Linked DNA regions of Sus scrofa. The protein of the gene in region 1 purifies or fractionates together with the protein of each later gene. This does not show direct contact. Links are inferred from orthologs where the notes say so. Each region holds a gene or a part of one and is shown in the gene's direction. Other genes may lie near its edges.

Region 1 (5,481 bases):
GTGATGCGGTCACAGCGGCGGACGCAATGGAGCTCGATGCCCTGGTTGTCGTAAATGTGAAGCCAACGGTTCTGAGCAACAGCAAGCAGTGCCTCTGAGTGCAGAAACCTAGGAGGAGCAGGAGTGGTGGGGGTGACAGAGAGTCACTGGCAGTCACTCAGTCGGGGATGGGCTGTCTCACCACCCACCGCCGCCGCCATCACCACCACCACCACCAGAGCCCACGGACCGGATGTCCCGCACCGCCTCCATGACGTTGATCTCGCACATAAGCTTCTTTGTCACCCAGTCGAGGGCGGCCACATGACCCCGTCGCCCTCCCAAAGCCAGGTGCCTGTTGGAGGTGGAGGACAGGCAGGGTGTCAGTACAGGGAGCACCCTGCCTCTGAGGTCTGCCCTCACCAGCTTCCCTCCACGCTCACCCTCACACGCGAGCAGGTCACAAGAGTCTCCCACATCAACAGCCCAAATGTACGCTCATGTATGTACACATAGGTATATACACACCCAAACATGCACACAACGCGTCAGGGGTGGGCAAGGCTGCAGCAATGAAGGAGACTCAACCACACCCTAGTTCAAATCACTGGAAGTCAACCTTACCTCCCTGTTCGAGAGTAATTCAGCCTGTAGGGTCCAAACTGCCTCAAGTTCAAGTCAAAGTGCTGGAAAAGGGAATAGCGGAGAAAAAAAGAAAGAAAAAAATTGGGTCCCTTCAGTAATATTTTCTTCTAGCCCCACTTCCATCCTGCTCTGCACCCCAGTCAGCCCGCTGGATCCTTTTACACCCTCAGGCTCACCTTGGCTGCACTTGCAATATCCACAGCCTCTGCGATGTCAGCCTGGCGTATCCTTGCTGTGTCCTCCCCATCCTCACCTTCCAGAAACCTGCCAGTGAATGTCAGGGTTGCATTCAGCTTTCCGATGTGAAGTCAGTGTATCAACATAAAAGTGAGAAATGAGAGCCTCATAAACCAGGAGCTGGGGAGGCCCACATTACGGTCCACTTACCCAGGTTCCTCAGCCAGCAGCAGCTCAGAACGAGCAGCTTTGACGCTTATTTCCTCTTCCTCAGCTTCAGCAGCATCAAGCCGGCTTTGGGCTTTGGACTTGGAACGGGGCAGCTACAATCATTGGTGGGAGAGGAATGGGCGAGTATGGGGGTTACAGGAGAGCCACCTGACCGCGCCTCCATCCAGCTCACCCAGACACTCCCTGCCTGCAACTCCTCCCCACTCTCCGACCGGTTCTCACCTTTTTGGATTTGTCGATGCGACGGAACTTTCGAACTACCTCCACAGGGACAGGGGCGGGGCCTGCAAACGGGTCCTGGGCCTGGGACAGGAATGGGGCAATTAGTAAACAGGCTCGGGTTGATCCCAACTCTCGTACCCTCAAAGCACGAGGAGACTTGCCTCGCCACCGTATAAGGTCCCAGGCTCACCCCAGACAAGCTCCGCTGAGGGCCTGGACTCCTCCATTCTTGGGATTTCTTTGGGACCTGGGGCTTCTTGGGGAACCGAGACTTCTTTTGGATGGGAGCGTTCTTTGGCTTCTGAGGGCGGGCCTCTCGATTCTTCTTCTGTTTACGAGGGGGACCCGGAGAGGCTCCGGCAGCTGTCGGAGCGGTCTCTTCCTCCCAGTATCGCCGAGGTTTCTGCTGGCAGATCAGGACCCCTGATATTCCGCTGCCTCCTCCCCGCCCCTCCAACCCCTCAGCCAAAAACTTTCCTTTCAACCCAAGGAGGTCTCTACCTTTCTCTTGGCCTGAAGTCTGTCCTTCTTGGGCGGGACATCACTGCCAGGCTTGGGGGCTGTCTCCATCAAGCCCACCCGAACCGCGACACACGTGCAAACTCCTCTCAGCTGTCCCACAGTCGGATTGAAAACTCCCGGAAGTCTTCCGGCCCTCATCCAATCAGCTCCGCCCCAGGTTCGAAGCCCTCGAGGCGCCATCTTGGGTGAGGGCGCTCTCTCCAGTGAGGTGGGGGGCAGACCTTGGCCCCGCCCCCGTGAGGCAGTTTATGCTTGAGTAATGAAAGAGAGGTGGTCCGGAGCCAGGACTCAAGTTGACTGTGCAGTTCCTTTTTCCAGCTTCGTTTCCGCATGTTGCCTAGAACGTTCCGAGTCCAGCCTTTTAGAAAAACGCCACTCGTCTAACAAGTGAGAACTACAGTTCCCGGCATGCGTCAGACGAGAGCTTCCGGCGCCGTCTCTTCCCAGCATTCTCTGTTTACTTCCGGGTTCACCAACACTGAAAGAAGAACGTGAGTAGATAGAGCAGGCGTTCGGTTGAGGGCTCTGGGGTCTCTTTTCCCCCGCTGCCGCCTAGAGCAGGGGTGGAGTCGATATCTCGGACGGGGGGAGACTGCGGTGCCCCGAGGGGCTGCTTCTCAAGAGGGCTGTCATTTCCGCAGGCCGGAAAGGGGAGCTCGGGTACCTTCCAGAGTGTGCAACCCAGCGCCCCTCTCCCTCTTCCCGCGGAGTTTCGTCCTCGCCATGGCTGAGCTGATCCAGAAGAAGCTACAGGGAGAAGTGGAGAAATATCAACAGCTACAGAAGGGTAGGGGAACGGGGTTGTCCCGGTTCTCTCACTACCCGAAGCCTTACAAGATGCGTCCTGCCCCTCTCCATCCCACCCGTGCCCCTTCCCCACCTCCATGGTGTTCCCGTCCTTGTCGCTCCATTTCTCACCAGGACGGTAGGGATTGGGTGGCATATCTGATGTCTTTAATCAAGTCTTCCCTCCCACCCGCCAGACTTGAGTAAGTCCATGTCAGGGAGGCAGAAACTAGAAGCACAACTAACAGAAAATAATATCGTGAAGGAGGTGAGAGCACAGGATTTGTGGGGCGAGGAGGGAACTTGTCCTGGCAATGTTTCTGATCACAGATGTCCTGCCCCTCCATCAGGAACTGGCCCTGCTGGATGGATCCAACGTGGTCTTTAAACTTCTGGGTCCCGTGCTGGTCAAACAGGAGCTGGGAGAGGCTCGAGCCACAGTGGGGAAAAGGCTGGACTACATCACAGCTGAAATGTGAGTCTTTGTTCCAGCACCTTCTGACAGACATGCCACGGTGGAAGACGTGTTGAGAAAGCCTTGTAGAGTAGCTTCCAGAGCTGTTCCCACCACCACCACCACCCAGTTCCTCCAGCCGCTTTCCTTTTAACCCCTCTTCTCCTCCCTCCCTTGGATCTCACGTTCCCCACCAATCTCCTTCCTGCCTTCAGCATCCTCAGCAGTAAGTCTCATTAAGACCTCACCGTTTTTGGTGTTCTGTCTTCCTCAGTAAGCGATACGAATCCCAACTCCGGGAACTGGAGCGCCAGTCAGAGCAACAGAGGGAGACCCTGGCTCAGCTGCAGCAGGAGTTCCAGCGGGCCCAGGCAGCCAAGGCAGGGGCTCCTGGGAAGGCCTGACCCTGTGGAGGGGGGAGGGAGGGGGTGGGAATGAGGCAGCTCAAGGGTCTCTACTGTAGTGAATAAAATGTGAAAACACCTGGCTGTTTTCTCACCAGCCACTTCTGTTGTAATCATCTCCACCTTTTCCCCTGGTCCCTTCTCCCCTTATATGTTTATCGCTTCTGTGACTCCCTCAGGTCCAGACTCTTGCAACTGGGCACTCTGAGGCCGAGTAAGCCTTCTTTATTGAGACTGAAATATGAAATATCTCAAATCTCATTTTTCCTGTATATGCAGCCCTTAGGTCTCCATTATCCTGGTTGGAAACATGAGAAGGGCATTTGCAATGCAGTGGTTTTGGGTAAAGTGAGTTTAATTGAACTCAGAATTTTCTAAGCTGTGACCCCAGAATGAAACATGGGGACCCTCCCTGCTGATTTCCCATCATCTTCAAAATAGCCCTGGCATCCCTCTAATTCGTTTTAGTCTTTTTTTCTTAGAATTTGCTTGAATGTAGCTTAAACTGATTTAAAATCTCAACACCTAACGCTCTGATATCATACGTCCTCCATGTTTATACGTTGTCCACAATGTTGTTCTTCCGTTTCTTTGTCCTCAAATTGTTTCTTACACATTCACAGGTGTGGGGGTTTTTGCACGGATCACTTTAATCAGGTGGCTAGAACTTGACAAGGTTTTGTAACAGCTGAGGAGAAAAGTTTAAGAGCAAATAAAGGGATGGAGAGGTTGCCAGGGAGGCAGAAACCATACTGAGGAGACCATCTCCAGCAGCTCCTCGCTTTCAGCTCTTCATGGACGGAAAACACAGCCCCTCTTATTCCACAGTATCCACTCTCAGCCTGCCCCCCTGCCCCCGCCCCCGCAGCATCAGTGGCCCACGCTGCAAGGAATAGAATTCAGGTAGTGTTTTGGTTTATTAGTGTTGTCACAGTGACAGGAATCCCTAGAGCAGGAAAAGGAACTCCTACTTGCCATTCCCTTTGCCTGGGGCTCAGAGCCTCTAGGCTTTTCCCTTCTCCCACTTCTAGGCCCTTCTTGGGCCTGGGCATGCGAGGGTGTGGCCAGGTGTCAGGAACCAGCTGTGTGCCACACTTTTGGAAATCGGGAAGAGCTACACACAGGTTGTCCACCTTGGGATCCGAGGTGACCAGTCCCACAGGCTGGGTCTTGGCTGCCTGGTAACCTGGCAGCACTTCACTGCCCCAGGGTAGTTGGCCGCCTTGCTGGATTTTCTCCCAACGTAGCGCCCCCGTCTGGTATGGCCGCAGTGAGTTCTGTGAGCCGAGGCTCTCCCCTCAGAACAGTGCCCGGGCAATCTTCCTCCCCGTGGCTTTGATCCTGGGGAAGGAGCCCCCTCCCCCCGCGCTCGGGGGCGTCCCCGAGGCAGAGGGGCCCAGCGTAGCAGTAGAGGGCCTGCGCCGCTGCCGCAGGAGGAAATCGTGGGACGCACCATCCATGGCGTAGAAGACGTTGGCCGAGGCGGGGATGGTCAGCTCTGGAGGTTCCAAAAGGGGTGTCAGGCACAGCCCCGGGAAGGGATGGGGGGGTGAGGAAGCACCCCACCACAGCACCGCTCCCCTGCCCCCAGCCTCTGACCTCGCTCCCCTGGTAGCAGCTGCACCAGCTCATACTCTGAAGCCACTGCAGAATCACGATTGTTTTTCTTAAGGACACGACTGATGACACTTGGAGCTTTGTCCTGGCTTGTTACCTGGCAGGACAGCAGACCAAAAGGGCAGTAAATTGGCCATGATGACCTTTGCTTTCCATCTTCCCAACCATAGCCAGCGATCCCAACCAGAAAAGGCTACCTGTCCAAGCCCTTCGAGTAAACAGGACAGCCCTCTGTGGTGGCCCCTGTGCTGCACCTGCCAGCCCACATGCTTTCAGGGCTGTTCCCTGTGCAGAGATTGCTGTTGGCTCTGAAAACCTAACAGCCTCTGGAAGCTCAGGTGCAGCAGCTAATGCAAAGTAACCTTCTGAATAAAACATGGCCGCTAAAACCAAGGGTCAGTGAAAACCAAAACCTTCCTCCCGCTTGGTTCTTGAAACCACAGG
Region 2 (5,985 bases), on another chromosome or scaffold:
GAAACCTTACTAGTAGGTGAGAACAAAGCCAGAGTAGAAGTTAAATAGCAGCTTTTGCCATGCATTGCAGCCACAAAAATTATTATTCAAGTATTAAGGCATAAATTTGACAGGATGTGAAAGTCATTCTAGGCTCTTCAACAAGAGTACCTAGGAGCTTTTTGAGTTAAGGGTACCCAAGGGTCAGATTTGGCTTGGTGTGTGCCTCTGTCATGATATAATTCTTCTTCCAGTGTTTCAAATATTTTCTTTTTTGTCCTTCTCTTAAAATATGCATTTTCTGAATATTACTATAGACAGCAGAACGGAAAGGTTTTTGAACTAGAAGTCAAGAAATGGACTTAAGAGCTCACTTTTAGACCTCTTAGTTGTTCAACCATGTGCAAGTCATTTATATCTCTTTCAAACATTTAGTTACTTAATTTATAAGCTGTGGTGATGAAACTGCTTGCCCTAACTCAGGATTGTTGAGAAGAGTAAATGAGGTATTTATTATTACATCTATTAGTGTTCTCATATTAATATTTACATATTAATAGTTCAAAAAATGTGGGAAAGTGCTTTGAAAACTAGTTGTAAAATATAAATGTAGTGAGTAGTTACATTTATGGTTCTTGTTTTGGATCTCTGGGTTTCATCCGCTGACTGTTGCATTTAGTGCCTATATTACTCCTTGGGTACCTGCTACTTGATATGTTTATTATTTACCATGTCTTTGTTCTGCTGCTTCAAATAGACAGCATCTTTTGAGGACTGGGTAAATTCAAAACAGTTGACCCTTGAACAACACAGGTTTAAACTGCGGGGATCCAATTGTACATAGATTTTTAAAGGTATTACTACAGTACCACACACTGTGTGATTGGTTGAAATCCAGATGTAGAACCAAGGATACAGAGGAACTGCTATATGGAGGGTCAGCTGTAAATTACACTGGGATTTTTTTTTTTTTTTGGCCATGCCTAAGGCATGTGGAAATTTCTAGCCCAGGGACTAAATGTGCTCCACAGCTATAACCAGAATCACAGCAGTGACAACTCCAGATCCTTAACCTCCTAGCCAGGAGGAAACTCCTGTACTCAGCATTTTGACAACATGGAGAGTCAGTGCCCCTAAGCCTTGAGTTGTTCAAGAGTCAAGAATATTTAGCATAGTGGCTTGATCATTTATAATTATATGAACGTTTATTGATGTTTGCGCAGGTAACAAACATCAAATTTTATAACTTTGTCTCAGCAGGCTTTATTTTAATATGTTTAAATTTGACTTAAATATTTTCTGTAAAATGTTTCACTTACTAAATCAAGGACTTTTTTTTTTTTTTTTAAGGCCTTCACAGAGCTTCAAGCTAAAGTTATTGACACTCAACAGAAGGTGAAGCTTGCAGACATACAGATTGAACAGCTCAACAGGACAAAAAAGCATGCACATCTTACAGATACGGAGATTATGACTTTGGTAGATGAGACCAACATGTATGAAGGTGTAGGAAGAATGTAAGTAAAATATATCCTTAAGGGGGTTATCTTGGAAGAGGTTTTGTCTGGATTAAATTGTAAAATTTGTTCACTTTAAAATTTAAATTAAAATATCAGAGTAGCTTTAAAGATTGTCTAGTCAATATCTTCTTTTTTTTTTTTTAAATGAGAAACTGATGTCTTTAATTTTTTTCTTTCTTTTTTTTTTTTTTTTTTTGTCTTTTGTCCTTTCCTAGGGCCGCTCCCACGACACATGGAGGTTCCCAGGCTAGGGGTCAAATCGGAGCTGTAGCCGCCGGCCTACACCAGAGCCACAGCAACGCAGGATCTGAGCTGCATCTGAGACCTACACCACAGCTCAGGGCAATGCTGGATCCTTAACTCATTGGGCAAGGCCAGGGATGGAACCCGAAACCTCATGGTTCCTAGTCGGATTCATTAACCTTTGAGCCGCAATGGGAACTCCTAATTTTTAACTTTGAAGTACATTTTTAAAATATTTATTTCCCTGTTCTTCTCTCTACTTACGTACATAAGCGTGTAACTTGAATGATAAAAACATGATTTGTTATGAAAAGATGTTTATAGTAGTTTTATGGGTGAAGATTGATTTAAGCAGTTGTAGTTTTAACCTCCCCTTAGCAACCTAATTATTAGTAGTCATTCACATTATAAATCTTTTAGTTGTTTGACTAGTGTTGTGAAATAAAAATACTCAGTTGTCATTTAAATACACTCATTCTGTCATACATGAGAAATCTAGTAAATCAATTTACCTATTGTTCTAATTATTATTATATGATTAACCACCTACATTTCACTTTTTTCCTTTTAAAAATATATTACCCTTATGGGAGTTCCTGTCGTGGTGCAGTGGTTAACAAATCCGACTAGGAACCATGAGGTTGAGGGTTCTATCCCTGGCCTTGCTCAGTGGGTTAAGGATCCAGCATTGCCCTGAGCTGTGGTGTAGGTCTCGGATGCAGCTCGGATCCTGCGTTGCTGTGGCTCTGGTGTAGGCCGGCGGCTACAGCTCCGATTTGACCCCTAGCCTGGGAACCTCCATATGCCGCGGGAGCGGCCCTAGAAAAGGCAAAAAGACCAAAAAAAAAAAAAAAAAAATTACTCTTTTGAGAAAAAATAGACCTGCTTTTTGTTTTCTAAGTAGTTAAATAGGAATGGAGAAGCCCTTAGCTACAGGTCACATTCCATCACAATGAGCTCAAAGAGACAGATTTTTTTTTTTTTTTTTTTTTCTTTAAATAAGTAAGAGAGGTACAGGAGGAGGGTTTTCTGAATTTTGGTCTTTGAATATTACTTACTAAGTGGACCATTACTTAAGTTTGGAGATCTTTTAGTTAGAAAGGAATTTGACCTCAGTCTTAGGATGACTTGTTTTGTGATTGATTGGAAGGAAGCATAACATGTGTAACATTTAGTAATGGCTTTGGAATGACATCATGAGAAATAGATCCTACTCTTGACTAGCTAATCCATATCTTTCTGGAAAAGAGATAGAATATGATAAACTGATTTGCTTTCTCAGAATAAATAATATACCACAAATAAATTTTATCTCCAGAGTTCATATTTTTCATTTTAGCTTGTTTTAAAAGGAGATTCTGAGAGTGTGTTATTGGGACACAAATTGGAATGAGGACAGAGTAGAACCCTTGAATGTGTCTATGCAGTGTGAACTGTGTTGTTGTATTTGCTATGGGATAATTTTATCCTTAATGTGAATATCCTTAAGTCTTAAGCTTTTCTAGCATGCTTGTTAATGTCGCACTTGGATTTCACATCATTACTTTAGCCTTTGTTCAAAACAGCTAAAGAATCTCTTTCCAGAATAGAAAAATTCTTTGATTATCTTTGTCCTTTCGATCTACAGTGAAGTTTTAATTTTTTATTAGAATAATTTAATTTATTAAACATTCTGCAGAAATGATAGGAGAGTTACTTTTTTTGCGTACTGCCCAAAGTGCTCCATATATGTTGTATTCCACACAAAGAACTGTAGAGTTTAAAGACTGGGATATGAATTAGTTAATGGTGGAGTTCCCGCTGTGTTTCAGCAGTAATGAACCCAGCTAGGATCCATGAGGATGTGGGTTCAATCCCTGGCCTTGCTCAGTGGGTTATGGATTCGGCATTGCCATGAGCTGTGGTGTAGGTTGCAGACGTGGCTCAGATCCCTTGTTGCTGTGGCTGTGGTGTAGGCTGACAGCTGTAGCTCCAATTCGACCCCTAGCCTGGGAACCTCCATGTGCTGCAAGTGCGGCCCTAAAAAGCAAAAAAAAAAAAAAAAAAAAATTAGTTAATGGTAGAACCCCTGTTCTACAGATGTGTTTACAGATTTGTTTCATGTAAATTATGCTTCTTAAATGTGTAGTTTTAAATGTTTAGATAAAGTGGAATACTTAAATGGTTTCAGACTGGTTCTAAATTTGACTTTTGTATTTTCTGCATCTCACTGGGGGGGTGTGAATTTGAAACTTGCATTTGTAGGGGCATGTAAGGTAGTGTTTATTGTTTGGCTGGAGTATTAGTGCCCTCAGGAAGAAAAGACTTGCTGAGTATTAGTCTGGTCATGAGTTCTCCTTCTTGATGCTAAACCTGAAATATCTATTTCTGCATTTATAGTCTTGAGTAATCTTGAGTATCATTGTGATTCACTTCTTTAATTCTAGTCTTTACCTTCATTTGACTTTTCTTTTTCCTTTTTAATATTATTTGGAAGTTTTAATTAGAATACTAAATTTTCTCAGTTGTCTTAAAATCAATAATTACGGAATCTAAAACAGTATAATTTTTTTAGAACCTGCAGTAGATTTATGTCATCCCTGAAATTCAGGCCTCATTGTGTCTAGCTCTGGACTATTGTAATAGCTTCTTAACTGTTGTTTCTGTCTTTATTCTCTTGGTCCAAATGCTTTCTTCATACATCTGCCAGAATTGATCACGTCATTATCCTTCATAAAATCTTCTGTTTTTCTTTACTTGCCCATGGGAAAAAGTCTAAACTCATTGGTCTAGCATTTACCATTATCATAACCTGTCCTTAATTTACCCTTCTAGCCTCAAATCCCACTCTTTCTATTCTCAGGTCAGCACATAGATTTCATCTCATAGATTTAACTCCATCCGTTGGTTTTGGGTTACCTTTGAGAAGGAATTTGAGTCTCATGTGGGTTTAAACATGTTTTAATTGATTAGTGATGTCTGTCTCGGGGTGAGGTAGAAGAGTAGTAGCACATATACCCCAAATTATTATCTCTACCCTTGGTGCATAGGCTTCCTCACACATGCCATGTTTTTGTGCTTTCTTGATTTTGCTAATTCTGTCCTTGGGCTGCAGGATCCTAGTTTCTCTTGTGAAATTTGCATCCTTCAAGACATAATTCATCTTTTCTCAAGATTTTTCCATCTTCCCTGGCAGCTTATTCACACTTTAAGTGATACCAGGAATTTTGTTCCTGTGGTTAGTAGAGCACATGGGCGGGTGGGGGGGCTGGGGGGTTGGGGGGTAGGGGTAGAGGGCAGAAATGGACAGAGTTTGAAATGGTATTGTCTCCTCAAGTATGTTGTCAGCTCTCTGAGACCATATACATATTTATTTTTGTTTTCTCAGTTCTCAGCATAATGTCTGGCACAAAATAGGTATTAAATGTACATTGATTTGAATTGAATATGATTCTCTTGTCTAAAATAACTGCATTTTCTTTTGGTTCTTTAGAAAGAAAATGTTTAGAAAGTGTCAGTAAGGATTGGAGTTTAGGAGTTCCTGTTGTGGCTCAGTGGTCACAAACCTGACTAGTATCCATGAGGACGTGGGTTCCATCCCTGGCCTTGCTCATTGGGTTGAGGATCCAGTGTTGCTGTGAGCTGCCATGTAGGTTGAAGACGTGGTTTGGATCCCAAGTTGCTGTTGCTGTGGTGTAGGACGGCGCTGCAGCTCTGATTCGATGCCTAGCCTGGGAACTTCACATTTTGCAGGTGTGGCCCTAGAAAGACCAAAAACAAACAAACAAACAAACAAACCAAAGAATTGGAGTTTATTATGCTGTTTGTTTATTTATTTATTAGCTGCTCCTGGGGCATATGGGAATTACTGGGCCAGTGACCCAAGATGCTACAGTGATCCTTAACCTATTGTGCCACCAGACAACTCCTACTTTTTATTTTATTTTTTTATGGGTGCATCCAGGCCATATGAAAGTTCCTAGACCAGGGATCAAATCTGAGCTGCAGCTGTGACCTACCAGTGCAGCTGTGGCAACACTGGATCCTTTAACCCACTGTGCTGGGCCAGGGATCGAACCTGGCCCAGCACAGTGACTGCAATTGGATTCTTAACCCACTGCACCACAGAGGGAGCTCCACAAGGGGACTCCTATTATGCTGTTTTAATATATGATTCAATAAAGATGAAATGATAAAAGTAACATATTTTGGAGTTCCCACTGAGGTGTGGGATCAGCAGTGTATCTGCAGCACTGGGATGCAG

The links. The genes of interacting proteins can lie anywhere in the genome.
Region 2: the proteins of PFDN6 (region 1) and PFDN1 purify together in Homo sapiens (affinity purification with mass spectrometry; 6 studies listed by BioGRID and IntAct, with this or other methods). This does not show direct contact. The link is inferred for Sus scrofa from reciprocal best matches to the Homo sapiens genes PFDN6 and PFDN1.

What each region holds. Positions count from the first base shown.
Region 1 is NC_010449.5:29,651,425-29,656,905, forward strand, and holds PFDN6 (prefoldin subunit 6), read left to right. Parts: upstream 1-2,267; intron 2,268-2,274; exon of another isoform or gene 2,275-2,417; coding exon of another isoform or gene 2,418-2,499; coding exon 2,500-2,563; intron 2,564-2,759; coding exon 2,760-2,830; intron 2,831-2,912; coding exon 2,913-3,037; intron 3,038-3,290; coding exon 3,291-3,420; 3' UTR 3,421-3,521; downstream 3,522-5,481. Other genes in the region: WDR46 (WD repeat-containing protein 46), read right to left, coding at 1-108, 230-334, 604-665, 801-888, 1,012-1,124, 1,255-1,335, 1,445-1,660, 1,756-1,956. UniProt on the Homo sapiens protein: Binds specifically to cytosolic chaperonin (c-CPN) and transfers target proteins to it. Binds to nascent polypeptide chain and promotes folding in an environment in which there are many competing pathways for nonnative proteins.
Region 2 is NC_010444.4:142,070,152-142,076,136, reverse strand, and holds part of PFDN1 (prefoldin subunit 1), read left to right. Parts: intron 1-1,329; coding exon 1,330-1,496; intron 1,497-5,985. UniProt on the Homo sapiens protein: Binds specifically to cytosolic chaperonin (c-CPN) and transfers target proteins to it. Binds to nascent polypeptide chain and promotes folding in an environment in which there are many competing pathways for nonnative proteins.